Anolis sagrei: one gene and its partner. The protein of the gene in region 1 binds, or shares a complex with, the protein of each later gene. Links are inferred from orthologs where the notes say so. Each region holds a gene or a part of one and is shown in the gene's direction. Other genes may lie near its edges.

Region 1 (7,872 bases):
TCCTAATCTGGTGCCCTCCAGATGTGTTGATTTATTTATCCTGGAATCCAAAAAGCTTGGGAAAACCTAGTTACAAATGTAAAAATTCCTTTTCTTGTGCAATCTAACTTTTAAAATTTTATAATTCATTTACTGTATATTTTAGGCTATCAACATTATAATCCTGTTACGATTATCAATAATCTGATTAAACTGCATTTACTGTATAATAGATATGATAGAATGATCATAAACTGTCTTTATAGATGCCTGTTAAGACTGTCAAAACTCCATTAAAGAAGTTCAACACTGTAAGCAGAAAAAGTCATCAAAAGTATTTCTATTCCCTAGTAAAATGTTGGAATTAGAATAGATTAAATAAAAATAAAAGGCTACACCTTTTAATAATTTGCTCCCACAATTAAAATTTACCTCAGATAATTTACTGCACTTTCCGCTACTGAACTTCACATTTATTAATTTTGTGGTGGTTGTATACCTTCAAGTTGTTTCCAACTTGGAAGAGTTTTCTTAACAAGATTTGTTCAGAAGAAGTTACTCAAATTACAGGTTGCCACTCCACCCCAAGCTTCTCCTTTAGATCTACAGGACTTCCACTAAACCAACCCAGCATAGTCATGGATAATTCTAGTAGTTATACTCAAAAACATCTGAAGTGTTATCATGTGGGGAAAGAAGGCTGAAGCAGAGAGGGTTCCTATTTACCTTTGCACCCCAAGTAATTGCTCCTTTGTGTAAGTGCTGCTCCCTTCCCCAGGCACTGACTGAGTCCTTCCGCTGTCGGGCACATGCTCCTTCTTCATTCTCATGCAATCACTACAGCCACAGTAGTCAAAATTGTCTTGTACTTCCTCCGATGGACATGGATTTCTTCTGAGCTCATCAATTAATGCTGCAAAAAAACCCAACAAACAACAAACAAACAAACAAACGGATTTCTTATTTGTACATTTACCAGAGCGAAACATATGGTCATACATTTAAGGACACATATGCATAACAAAAGGTGGAAGGTATGAAGCAGATTGGTTTCACCAAACTAGGGTCCACTAAATGTATGTCTTAAAACAAAGAATCGCTTCAGGAACACTAAACTACACATAAGAAGCCAGCTACAGCAGACTGGGAATTCTTGTTGGGAAGAAACTGGTTTCAAAGAGTTGCCAGCATATGCTTCTTAGAAGCCTGCTACAGGTGAGGAAGATAAAGACATCTCACCTGCTGTGTGCCATACTTATGAACCTGACCCCCAGCAACTGGTACGCAGAGGAATACTGTGAAACTGGCTGTTCTCACCTCCAGCCCTGATGCGAGATAACAGAAGAGAAGGAACCATTATAAACATCCAGGAGCCATTCATTTAGGCCCCATCTACTCTGGCCATTTAATGAAGATAGCTTCAGACTGAGGGCCCTTCCACACAGCCATTTATCCCAGAATATCAAGGCAGAAATTCCCACATTATCTGAGTGTGGACTCAGATAACCCAGGTGAAAGCATATATTGTGTGATTTTCTGCCTTGATGTGGGATATAGGGCTGTGTGGAAGGGCCCCCAGAATATCAAGGCAAAAAATAGCACAATATCTGCTTTGAGCTGGGTTATCTGAGTCCACACTGCCATATAGTCCAGTTCAAAGAAGATAATGTGGGATTTTCTGCCTTTATATTCTGGGAAATAGGGTTGTGTGGAAGGGCCCTGAGGCAGATAGACAACAAACTCCCACAAAAGCACATGAAAGAAAGCCCTTATTGTGCATCAGTGCTCTGTGGTTTAAGTCATCACCATCCGGTTCCTCTGTAATCATCTGCCCAGTGAAACCATCTTCTTCAGTACTGGTTAGAAACTGCATTAAATGGTCAGTGTAGATGGGCCTAAGTTACTTTCTTTCAGCCCTCTGTAGCCATAATAAACATTTCTTCAACTTCCTTTTCAAACTTTTGCCCATAGTACTTTGAAACAGAAAACGACTTCTGTTCTAAATCTTTTTCCTGCAACTCTTTCACCACCCTTTTTGGCACATTTGCCCTAGTACTTCCCCTCCAAGTCCAGCTCTAAAGTCCAGCCCTTATTCCACACACAGACCCCTTATAATTTGAGAAACTCCAGAGCAGGCCATCTCCAACTGCGGCCCTCCAGCTCCCAGCAGCTCTATCCAGCTTATTCAATGATCAGGAATTCTGAGAGTTGGAGGCCCAACCTGCTGGAGGGACACAGTTTGAGGATGCCTGTTCCAGAAGAAAAGCTATTATTGTACTGCAAGGAAAACAAAAGTCCTCGGACACTTGGGGTACCATTTGCACTGCTGATTACTATATTACTATATTGTACTATAACATTATACTGTAATATTATTAGCAATATTATATTGTATTACATTATAATATTATCAAAATTATATTTATATTCTTCTGCCAGCCCAGCAGTTCAAAAACATACAAATATAAGTAGATCAATAGGTACCACTCTGGGGGGAAGGTAATGGCGCTCCATGCAGTCATGCTAGACACATGACTTTGGAGGTGTCTATGGACAAAGCCGGCTCTCTGGCTTAGAAATGAAGATGAGCACCACACCCCAGAGTTGGACATGACTGGACTGAATGTCAGGGGAAAACCTTTACTTTTTATATGTATATACAATATCTATATAAATTAAAATGTAATGTTCGTTTGTGGGATTAACAGAACTCAAAAACCACTGGACGAATTGACACCAAATTTGGACACAAGACACCTAACAACCCAATATATGTCCTTCACTCGAAAAAAATGATTTTGTCATTTGGGAGTTGTAGTTGCTGGGATTTATAGTTCACCTACAATCAAAGAGCATTCTGAACCCCACCAACGATGGAATTGAACCAAACTTGGCACACGGTTCTCCCGTGACCAACCGAAAATACTGGGTTTGGTGGGCAGTGTCCTTTGGTTTTGGAGTTGTAGTTCACCTACCTCCAGAGATCACTGTGGACTCAAACAATGATGGATCTGGACCAAACTCTTCACGAATACTCAATATGCCCAAATGTGAACACTGGTGTTTTGGGAAAATAGAATCTTGACATCTGGGAGTTGTAGTTGCTGGGATTTATAGTTCACCTACAATCACAGAGCATTCTGAACCCCACCAATGATAGAATTGGGCCAAACCTCCCATATAGAACCCTCATGTGGGCCATAGCAACGCATGGCAAGGAACTGCTAGTATTATATTATTAGCACAGTGCAGGAGACAAGATGGAACTGTGTTCCTGGCCCTGGAAACCGGTGAATAAGGAAAAGTAGAAGCAAAATGCCATGGGAAATGGCAGGAGGCTAAGCTGGGACACATGGCATTTCCTGTGTAAACATCCAGAGCTATAAGACCCCTGCATAGAACAGTGCTTCTCAACCTTCCTAATGCCGCAACCCCTTAATATATGTTCTCATGTTGTGGTGACCCCCAACCACAATGTTATTTTCGTTGCTGCTTTATAACTGTAATTTTGCTACTGTTATGAACTGTAATGTAAATATCCAATATGCAGGATGTATTTTCATCACTGGACCAAATTTGGCACAAATACCCAAAACACCTAAATTTGAATACTACTGGGATTGGGAAAAGGAATTGCTTATGTCATTTGGGAGTTGTAGTTGATTTCATTTATAGTTCACCTACAATCAAAGAGCATTCTGAACTTCACCAATGATACTATTGAACCAAACTTGAACCAGAAAATACTCGAAGGATTTGATGGGCATTGACCTTGAGTTTTGGAGTGGTAGTTCATCTACATCCAGAGAGCACTGGGGACTCAAACAATGATGGATCTGGACCAAACTTGGCACGGTTACTCAATATGCCCAAATGTAAATACTGATGGAGTTTGGGGAAAATAGACCTTGACATTTGGGAGTTGTAGTTGCTGGGTTTTATAGTTCACCTACAACCAAAGAGCATCCTGAACCCCACAAACGACAGAATTGGGCCAAACCTCCCACATAGAACCCGCAACGCGTGGCAGGGGACGGCTAGTTTTATATTATTAGCCCAGTGCAGGAGACAAGATGGGACTGTCTTCCTGGCCCCGGAAACCGGTGAATAAGGAAAAGTAGAACCAAAATGCCATGGGAAATGGCAGGAGGCTAAGCTGGAAGGGAGACATGACAGTATAAGACCCCTGCATAGAATCTTACAGTGGGAAGGGGCCAACCCCCTTCTAATAGGCAGGAAGACACAACCCGGGCACTCCCCGCAGAGGGCCAACCGCCTGTGGTTCTGCGCCCAGAGCCCACCCTCTTCCGCCTTCTTCCAGGGACCCTCCCCCGAAGGAGCGTTACCTTCGGCCCAGCGCTGCCCCGGGCCCAGAACGGCCATGATCCATCGGGGGAACTGGGCGGGGCCAAACCTGCGGCCACGTGACTCCCACGCGCAAGGCGCCCTGGGCCTTGGAGTCCCCCGAGCAATCGGGACCCTCCGCGCCGGAGACCAAGAATGGGCGGGAAAAACCGACCGCGAAGCAGTCCTATTGCCTAGAATCACTGCGTTGGAAAAGACCCCAATTCAGTCCGTGCAGGGAGGCGCACTCCAATGTCAATCGAACGCCGGAAGTAGAAAGGAGGGGGGGAACCGGAAATACGCCATTTTTGAAAAGCTTTGTGGGCCTCGCTCTCCTATGGCGCCTTTGCTACAGCGGGGCCGGAAGTGGCGCGCGCCGGCGCTGTGAGGCAGCGGTTGGTCGCGCAGGCGCACTTCAAAGGGGAGGGGGGTTGCTGTGCAAAGTGGGGCTCGTGTCTGGATTTCGGTTGTCTCGCGCGGCCAAGGGCGGGGGGAGGAGGAGGAGGAGGGGAAAGAGCTGAGGCGCAGAAGAAGAAGAACGGCGGCGGTGCTGAGGGAGGCGTCGTTGCGCGGCTGCTGAGGCTGCTGCGGGCGGAGCGGGCGGCGCTCCTCCTTTTCCTCCCCGTGCGGCGCGGCTCTTAGGCCCGAGAGGACGGACTCCCCGCTCGCCCTCTCCCCCCCTCTCCGCCCTGGGCGGCGGCGGCGGGGGCGGCGGCGGGGGGGAGGGGCGGGGCGGCTGCGGAGGGAACAGGTGAGAGCCTTTGGCCCGCGGAACCCCCAGCGGAAGAGGGCGGGAAGGGAGGAAGGAGGGAGGGAACCAGTGCTTGTGGGCCTGAAGGACCAGGCATCCTACACTAGGATTCATCCATTAGCCCTCCAACTCCCAGAAGCCCTTGCCAGCTTGCCCAATGAGGAGGAGTTCTCGGAGTTGGAGGCCCAAACACCTGCCGGGCCTAATTGGAGCAGGCCTGGTCTACACAATCCAAGAGAAGAAATATATCAGTGATTCTCAACCTGTGGGTCCCCAGGTGTTTTGGCCTACAACTCCCAGAAATCCCAGCCACTTAACCAGCTGTTAGGATTTCTGGGAGTTGAAGGCCAAAACATCTGGGGACCCAAAGGTTGAGAACCACTGAAATACATGAATCTCCCAGAGCCCAGGAGCGTAGGTCATTCCCCCACCTCCTTGCGAGGAACCGCTTCTAAAGTGGGGTACATATCCAAGGAAGGCCGCATTTCTTCGATTCTAAGACGCACACATTGGTCCCTTCCACACAACTGTATAAAATCCCACATCTGTATTGAACTGGAATATATATATGGCTGCGTGGACTCAGATAGCCCAGTTTCTGCCTTGATATTCTGCATTATATGGCTGTGTGGAAGGGCCCCCAGTTCAAAAGCAGATATTGTGGGATTTTCTGCCTTGATATTCTGGTTTATATGATTGTGTGGAAGGGTCCTCAGATAACCCAGTTCAAAGCAGATATTCTGGGTTTTATGGTTGTGTGGAAGGGCCCTCAGATAACCCAGTTCAAAGCAGATATTCTGGGTTATATGGTTGTGTGGAAGGGGCCTCAGACAACCCAGTTCAAAGCAGATGTTCTGGGTTATATGATTGTGTGGAAGGGCCCTCAGATAACCCAGTTCAAAGCAGATATTCTGGGTTTTATGGTTGTGTGGAAGGGCCCTCAGATAACCCAGTTCAAAGCAGATATTCTGGGTTATATGGTTGTGTGGAAGGGGCCTCAGACAACCCAGTTCAAAGCAGATGTTCTGGGTTATATGATTGTGTGGAAGGGCCCTCAGATAACCCAGTTCAAAGCAGATATTCTGGGTTATATGGTTGTGTAGAAGAGGCCTCAGATAACCCAGTTCAAAGCAGATATTCTGGGTTGTGTGGAAGGGGCCTCAGATAACCCAGTTCAAAGCAGATATTCTAGGTTTTATGGTTGTGTGGAAGGGGCCTCAGACAACCCAATTCAAAGCAGATGTTCTGGATTATATGATTGTGTGGAAGGGCCCTCAGATAACCCAGTTCAAAGCAGATATTCTGGGTTGTGTGGAAGGGCCCTCAGATAACCCAGTTCAAAGCAGATATTGTGGATCATTTTAGTACCACAAACAGGAAAAAAAACCCACATGCGATTCTAAGGGCCCTTCCACACAGCCCTATATCCCAGGAAATCAAGGCAGAAAATCCCACAATATATGCTTTGAACTGGGTTATCTGAGCCCACACTCAGATAATATGGGTTTTTTTGCCTTGATATTCTGGGATATAGGGCTGTCTGGAAGGGTCCTAAGCCTGGATCTACACTTTCATATAATTCAGATTCTCTAAGCAAATATTTATTTATTTACTGTATTTGTATACCACTTTTCTCAGCCTATAGGCAACTCAAGGCAGTTAACAGGGTAAAATTTAATTCTTACAATATCATAAATACAATTAAGAACATAACATATAATAAAAATTAAACATATCAATAAAATATAAATTTATATTCCAGGGTCCTTCCAGACAGGTCCTATGTCTCAGGATCTGATCTCAGGTTTTCTGTTAATCCTAGATAATCTGGCAATGCAGACTCATATAATTCAGTTCAAAGCAGATAATCTGGATTTTATATGGCAGTGTAGATGGGACCTAAAACACCCTGTTTTTTTGAGATGGGGTGGGGGAGTGCACCTTAGAATCGAAGAAATGGGATCTATACATGCTGAGGATCGCTTGTCCAAAATACTTGAGACCAGGGGTGTTTGGGATTTACAGACCCACCCCCATTTGGAATACCTGAACAGTAGACTCTCAGTTAACAGGAACTCCTAAGCAACTGGGCAAAAATTTGAAAACAAAGACTATAATACTCTAAATAAAAATGTAAATATATTTTAATAATTTAGTAATATCAATTTTTATAATGTGTTAAGTGTTACATTAAGTAGAAACTCGGTTAACTGAAATTCAAGCAACAGGAACTCCCAAGCAATCGTTAAAAAATGAAACAATACCGTAATACTCTGAATAAAAATTAAAATATAGAAAAATCAGTATTTATAATGTATTAAATGTTACATTAACTTTGTCCTCATTTGCTTTTAGCTGCTGTATTACATTATCAATATCAAGTCAATACAGAGTTTGTATAGTATTAGGTGGTCCTGTTTTTAATAGTAACTCTGAAGCAATCAGAAACCACATTTATCTGGCATCTACCAATCCCCACAAGTGCCGATTAACTGACAGTCTACAGTAATTTCCTCATATTTACCCTAGGAACATATCTATCAAATAAGTTCTGTACATATCGGTCAAATAAATGCAAGTTAAATATTCCTTATCCCAAATCCTTGGGAATGGGAATGTTTTGGATTTTTAACCCCCCCCCCCCCCCGTATTTTGAAATAGCTGTATTTGAATAGATGTATCTATCTTTTAGATGGGAACCAAATCTAAAGAAGAAATTTATAATTCATGTTTTTCTTATGCGCATAGCCTGAAGTTAATTTTATACACAATATTCTTAATAATTTTGCTCATGAAAC
Region 2 (7,030 bases), on another chromosome or scaffold:
ATACATCTTGCCCTTGGTTGGCCCCGCAACCATAACATTATTGCTACTTTCATATTTGTAATGTTGCTACTGTTATGAATTGTAATGTAAACATCTGATATGCAGGATGTATTTTCATTCACTAGACCACATTTGGCCCAAATTCGAATACTGGTAGGGTGACGGGGGGGGGGGGGGTGATTTTGTCATTTGGATGGACTCAAACAATGATGTATCTGGACCTAACTTGGCAGAAATACTCAATATTCCCTAATCTGAATACTGGTGGGGTTGGCAGGGGAATTGTCACTTAGGAGTTGTAGTTGCTGGGATTTATAGTTTACCTACAATCAAAGAGCATTCTGAACTCCACCAACAGTGGAATTGAACCAAACTTGGCTTGCAGAACTTCCATGATCAACAGAAAGTATTGGAAGGGTTTGGTGAGCATTGACCTTGAGTTTTTGGAGTTGTAGTTCACCTACATCCAGAGAGCACTGTGGACTCAAACAATGACGGATCTGGACCAAACTTGGCACAAATCCTCAATATGCCTGTTCTGTCACGTGCTGGGCCTGTAACAGCTGTCTTTTCTATAGGACGTATACTTTAAGCCCAACAGGAAGCCTCAAAGAGAGGTTCTCAGGGATTTTTCTGAACTAATGGTCTTTAGAGTCTTTAATGATAAAACAAAGTCTTTATTATGGAACAAACAACAAATCTTCAATGGTTCAAACAACACTTCAAGTCTTTCTTAGTCTAGTCCTCAATGGACTGGTACCTGACTTTAATTAACTGTACTTTCTCTGTAGGAAAAAAAACCCTATTTAACCTCTCCCAGGCTGTTTACTATCTATGCCTCATTGGTGTGGGTCCTACTACCAATTCCAAATGTGTCTGGGTATCGAGTAGACCTACCAGCCGAGGCTTGTAGTCATTTCAGATGGAGTTCCATGGATCTGTAGTTCTATCCTCCCTCAGAGAATTCTTTTAAAACCTCAGGGTTGTTTTCCCTCTGATTGCTGTGAGGCTGAGAGGCTATGAGCTCTCAGCCAGAGCCTTGGGACCTTTTCCCTGGAATATCTGTTTATGTTTCCCCGGATGTTCTTGAGAAAAGAAGCTTTTCTACGGGACGAGCTGGTCTACATCCTATAGTTTAGCTTCCTTATGTGAGACTGCCAAAAAAAAATGGCTCCTTTCCCTCCCAGAGTCCTGAACAAGGGGCGGAACCAAAGCTTAATTATGATGGACAGGCGGCCTGCCCTATGACTGCAAACAGATAACAGAAAGAAAATAAAGTTGGAGCTCCTGGTACAGCTGTACCAGCACAATGCCCAAATATGAACACTGGTAGAGTTTGGGGAAAATAGACCTTGACATTTAAGAATTGCAGTTGCTGGGATTTATAGTTCACCTACAATCAAAGAGCATTCCGAACCCCACCAACGATAAAATTGGCCCAAACTTCCCACACAAGAACCCCCATGACTAACAGAAAATACTGTGTTTTCTGATAGTCTTTGGGGACCCTTGCGACCCCCCCGAAGGGTCCCGATCCCCAGGTTGAGAAACAGTGGCCTAAGTAAGTAATAATCTATTTCAAATCTATAATTCTATGAAAAACCCTTTCAAATTTCAAATTCAGATTGGATTACTGTAATGCGCTCTATGTGGGGCTGCTCTTGAAAACGGCTCGGAAATTCCAACTGGTTCAACGGGTGGCGGCCAGGATGTTAACGGGCGCTCCTTACAGAGAGAGGTCAACCCTTCTGTTTAAGGAGCTCCATTGGCTGCCGTTTACCTACCGAACCCAATTCAAGGTGCAGGTGCTTACCTACAAAGCCCTAAACGGTTTGGGACCTGCCTGCCTGCGTGACCGCATCTCCGTGTATGAACCCACACAATCCCTTTGTTCATCCGGAGAGGCCCTGCTTACGATCCCACCTGCGTCACAGGCGAGTTTGGTGGGTACGAGGGACAGGGCCTTCTCTGTGATGGCCCCCCGACTCTGGAACACCCTCCCCAAAGACATTAGACTAGCACCCACGTTGGCAGTCTTCAGGAAGAATCTGAAGACCTGGCTATTCCGATGTGCCTTTCCGGAATAGGATAATCTCCAGCACTACGTCCCAGAAGCACTTTATTAGAGTTTAGGACTCTCTGCACATTGCACTTGCCCGGAAATCCAAAATACCACCTGCCACACCCAGCACTTTTTTAACCTGTACCCATCACTGGCCCGGCCCTGGTTTTTATTGCGTAATTGATGTATTGTTTAGGTTCTTGTGGGTTTTTTCAGGCTATAGGGCCATGTTCTAGAGGCATTTCTCCTGACATTTCGCCTGCATCTATGGCAAGCATCCTCAGAGGTAGTGAGGTCTGTTGGAATTAGGACAATGGGTTTATATATCTGTGGAATGGCTGGGGTGGGGCAAAGAGCTCTTCCCTGCTGGAGCTAGGTGTGAATGTTTCAACTGACCACCTTCATTAGCATTTGAAGGCCTGGCTGAGCCTAGGAGAATCTTTTGTTGAGAGGTGTTAAGATGTGCCTGGTTGTTTCCTCTCTGCTGTTTTGCTGTTGTAATTTTAGAGTTTTTTAATACTGGTAGCCAGATTTTGTTCATTTTCATGGTCTCTTCCTTTCTGTTGAAATTGTCCACATGCTTGTGGATTTCAATGGCTTCTCTGTGTGGTCTGACATTGTGGTTGTTGGTGTGGTCCAGCATTTCTGTGTTCTCAAATAAAATGCTGTGTCCAGTCTGGTTCATCAGGTGCTCTGCTATGGCTGACTTCTCTGGTTGAAGGAGTCTGCAGTGCCTTTCATGTTCCTTGATGCGTGTCTGGGCGCTGCGTTTGGTGGTCCCTATGTAGACTTGTCCACAGCTGAATGGTATACGGTAGACTCCTGCAGAGATGAGAGGATCCCTCTTGTCCTTTGCTGAACGTAGCATTTGTTGGATTTTCTTGGTGGGTTTGTAGATTGTTTGTATGTTGTGTTTCCTCATCAGCTTCCCTATGCGATCAGTGGTTCCCTTGATGTATGGCAGAAACACTTTTCCTCTGGGTGGATCTTCATCTTGACTCTCGTGGCTTGTTCTTGGTCTTGCAGCTCTTCTGATGTCTGAGGTGGAGTCTCCATTGGCCTGGAGAGCCCAGTTGAGGTGGTTCAGTTCATCTTGGAGGAGGTGGGATTCGCAGATTCTTTTTGCACGGTCTGCCAAGGCTTTAATGGTGCTTCTTTTTTGACTTGGGTGATGGTTGGAGTTTTTATGTAGATATCTGTGTGTGTGGGTTTTCTGTAAACGGTGTGACCCAATTGTTGATCTGGTTTACGGATGACTAGGACATCTAGAAAAGGCAGTCTTCCTTCCTTTTCTTTTTCCACAGTGAACTGGATGTTTGGGTGGATGCTGTTAAGATGGTCCAGGAACCTGTTGAGTTCTTCTTCTCCGTGGCTCCAAATGGTGAAGGTGTCATCCACATATCTGAACCATATCGTGGGCTTTTTGGTTGCTGCCTCCAGGGCTTGTTTTTCAAAGTGTTCCATATAGAAGTTAGCTATGACCGGGCTGAGAGGGCTCCCCATAGCTACTCCATCTTTCTGTTCGTAGAATTCATTGTCCCACTGAAATAATATATTAATATTAATATTAATAATAATAAAATTAAAAAGGGTGTAACTTGAAGGCAAGCCTAGAAGGATTGAGATACCACAGTAGGCTATATTTCATAGGAAACAACTGCCAAAGCCACCTCGTCTCAGAAAACCCTATTCAAAACCATGCATCTCATATGTCGCCCTCGGGCTGAGAGGGGCGGTCAATAAATGCAAATAATAAATAAATAATAATAAAAATAATAAATATGTGAAGCAGATGATGCAAAGGCAGGCGGGAACAAGAAAGAGGGAAAATGTGCCCATTTCCAAAATGGCTGCTTGAGCATCGCTCCGGCTTGAACATCCACTTCCCCTTTGTCTTAGCGACCGCTCTGTCCCTAAAGAGCTTCAAACCGGAAGTGTGCTCACATTATCTCCGTCCCTCCGTCCCCCAGGGAGAGACTTCCGGTTGCCTATTTGAGACGCCTTTCTGGCTGATGTACTGGCCGGGGAGATGTCAGACACATGGAGCTCGATCCAGGCTCACAAGAAGCAGCTGGACTCGCTGCGGGAGCGGCTGCAGCGGAGGCGGAAGCAAGAACCCCTGGGTAAAATATAATAATAGCAATAATAATAATAATAATAATAATAATGAAGGCCGGAATGGTTTTGTGGTGGTTTGAATGGGAAAGCAAAGGCCATTTATGGGCTTGTATGTGTGAAAAGGGGGTGAAGGTAAAATGGAGAGAATCATAGAATCAAAGAGTTGGAAGAGACCTCCTGGGCCATCCAATCCAACCCCATTCAGCCAAGAAGCAGGACTATTGCATTCAAATCACCCCTGACAGATGGCCATCCAGCCTCTCTACCTCTCTCAACCTCACTACCTCTGAGGATGCTTGCCATAGATGCAGGCGAAACGTCAGGAGAAAAATTGCCTCCAGAACATGGCCATATAGCCCGGAAAAACCTACAACAACCCATCCAGCCTCTGTTTAAAAGCTTCCAAAGAAGGAGCCTCCACCACACTCCGGGGCAGAGAGTTCCACTGCTGAACGACTCTCACAGTCAGGAAGTTCTTCCTCATGTTCAGATGGAATCTCCTCTAGCTTTCCAGGGCTTTGGACATCAGTTAATCACTGTAGAATGAATGCAGTTTGACCCCACTTTCTCTGCCTTGGCTCTATAATATGTAATCTTGGGAGCTGTAGTTTGGTGAGGCACCAGCACTCTTTGCCACAGAAGGCCTTGCAAAACTACAACTCCCATGTAGTTCTGCTGACCGAAAGGTCGGCAGTCCGAATCCAGGGAGCAGGGTGAGTTCCTGTCTGTCAGCTCCAGCTTCTCGTGCAGGGACATTTATTTATTTATTTATTTGCTTCACTTGTATACCGCTCTTCTCAGCCATCAGGTGACTCAGAGCGGTTAACAACCAGTATCAACAACACAGTACAAAATCATTAATCATTTAAAACAATTAAATCAATTAATTAACATCAGAACATCAATACAACAATACAGGAAAACAACAATCCATCACGTCTCATCGATAGAATCAGCATCCGATCTCGTTGTCCATTAATCCATATTCCAGAAATCAATCAATTGCACTGCTTAGTTGAAAGCTTGTTCGAAGAGCCAGGTCTTCACTCTCTTCCTGAATGTCAATAAGGAGGGGGCCGATCTAATGTCTGTAGGAAGGGCGTTCCACAGCCGGGGGGCCACTACTGAGAAGGCCCTGTCTCTCGTCCCCGCCAGGTGTGCTTGTGAAACCAGCGGGATCGAGAGCAGGGCCTCCCCAGACGATCTTAACGTCCTAACTGGTTCATAGGAGGAGATGCATTCGGACAGATAGGTCGGGCCAGAACCGTTTAGGGCTTTAAAGGCTAAAGCCAGCACTTTGAATTGTGCCCGGTAGCAAATTGGCAGTCAGTGGAGCTGGCGCAACAGAGAAATGGTATGCTCCCTGAGAGCCGCTCCTGTTAGCATCCTGGCTGCCGACAGTTGGACCATTTTAAGCTTCCGAGTAGTCTTCAGAGGCAACCCCACGTAGAGAGCGTTGCAGTAGTTTATACGGGATGTAACCACAGCGGACTACAGTGGCCAAGTCAGACATGAGAGAAGCCTCCCACAGGATGGTAAAACATCTGGGCAAAATCCTCTCAGACAGCCAATTCTCTCACACCAGAAGCGACTTGCAGATCTTTGGGTCCTCATGAACAACAAGTTAAACATGAGCCAACAATGTGATGCGGCGGCAAAAAAGGCCAATGGGATTTTGGCTTGCATCAGCAGGAGTCTAGTGTCTAGATCCAGTTGGAGTTAGAGAGTAGCTCAGACGAGTTCTTTACTATTAAGAAATGTAGTTATCATTTTTGTAAATAAACCTTTTGTAACTTTAAAGATTGAACTCTGCATCTTACCTCCTAAACTCTAAATTCTTTCCTGGCCACAACACTTCACGCTCTGCTTGCTGTGAGCTGTGAACTGAATGCTCAATTATAAGTACTCTATTTGTGTTTTTGGATGCTCTGCTAACAAAAAAGACCCTATAAAATTCATGGAGTCAGCATAAGTTCACAAGGTGATGAAGGTACACTAAGTTTGGAGAAACCAACAAAACTGAGGGTCATAAAAACTGTATAAAACTGTGTGCTAGTTTGATATACATTTGGTGCTCTAAATCCAAAAATGACCTCAGATTTCCTCCACATTTTTATTTTGGAATATGTGACTAAGATTTCTATGGGTAATACAATGTACCAGGGATGGAAATCACATGGCATCTGGGTATTGTTGGACTGTCCTTCCCAGTTCAGCCATAGTATGTGTTGGATTTATTTATTTATCGTGTCAGGGGCAACCAGACAATTGTATTACATTTCTAACAGAACAAAACAAACAAACAGACAAAACACAAAATTTGCAAGCTTGGTAGTTGATTAAATGTCCTTTGACCAGTATCTGGCCACTTGGAGTGCCTCTGGTGTTGGATGAGGCTGCTGGGAATTCCAATCCAGTTGGCCCGGTTGAATGTCAAACAAGGCTGAAGGCCAAGGAAAGAATAAAGTGAGGACAGCAGGTTGAAACAGAAATGGAGTAAATGACAAAATGTTTCTTGCATGGACAGTGCTATTGTGTCTTCTTCCATCCTCTTTCCAGACCTCAGGAATCCAGAGCTGGCCCTCAGCCCTCCCTTCCGCAGTGACAGCCCGGTCTCTTCGTCTGTCACACCCAGCACTGCTACTGAATCTGGGGATCTGGTAACAGACCCTGAGCTTGAGAAGAAACTCCTTCATCACCTTTCGGATCTGGCACTGGCGTTGCCCACAGATGCCTTGTCCATCTGCCTTGCCATTTCAACGGTGAGAACAAGGCACCAACATTGCTTGAGGCCTGTCAGCAACATTGCTTGAGGCCTCCTTTTGTGGAGGTTAGGGGTGCAGGACCCAT

What was found.
Region 2: ZC3H13 (region 1) and METTL3 share a complex: the UniProt entries of both Homo sapiens proteins name them as parts of the WMM complex. The link is inferred for Anolis sagrei from reciprocal best matches to the Homo sapiens genes ZC3H13 and METTL3.

What each region holds. Positions count from the first base shown.
Region 1 is NC_090021.1:140,393,966-140,401,837, forward strand, and holds the start of ZC3H13 (zinc finger CCCH domain-containing protein 13), read left to right. Parts: upstream 1-4,854; 5' UTR 4,855-5,074; intron 5,075-7,872. Other genes in the region: DNAJC18 (dnaJ homolog subfamily C member 18), read right to left, coding at 706-892, 4,326-4,362. UniProt on the Homo sapiens protein: Associated component of the WMM complex, a complex that mediates N6-methyladenosine (m6A) methylation of RNAs, a modification that plays a role in the efficiency of mRNA splicing and RNA processing.
Region 2 is NC_090026.1:10,921,576-10,928,605, forward strand, and holds the start of METTL3 (N6-adenosine-methyltransferase catalytic subunit), read left to right. Parts: upstream 1-4,025; 5' UTR 4,026-4,091; coding exon 4,092-4,185; intron 4,186-6,739; coding exon 6,740-6,942; intron 6,943-7,030. UniProt on the Homo sapiens protein: The METTL3-METTL14 heterodimer forms a N6-methyltransferase complex that methylates adenosine residues at the N(6) position of some RNAs and regulates various processes such as the circadian clock, differentiation of embryonic and hematopoietic stem cells, cortical neurogenesis, response to DNA damage, differentiation of T-cells and primary miRNA processing.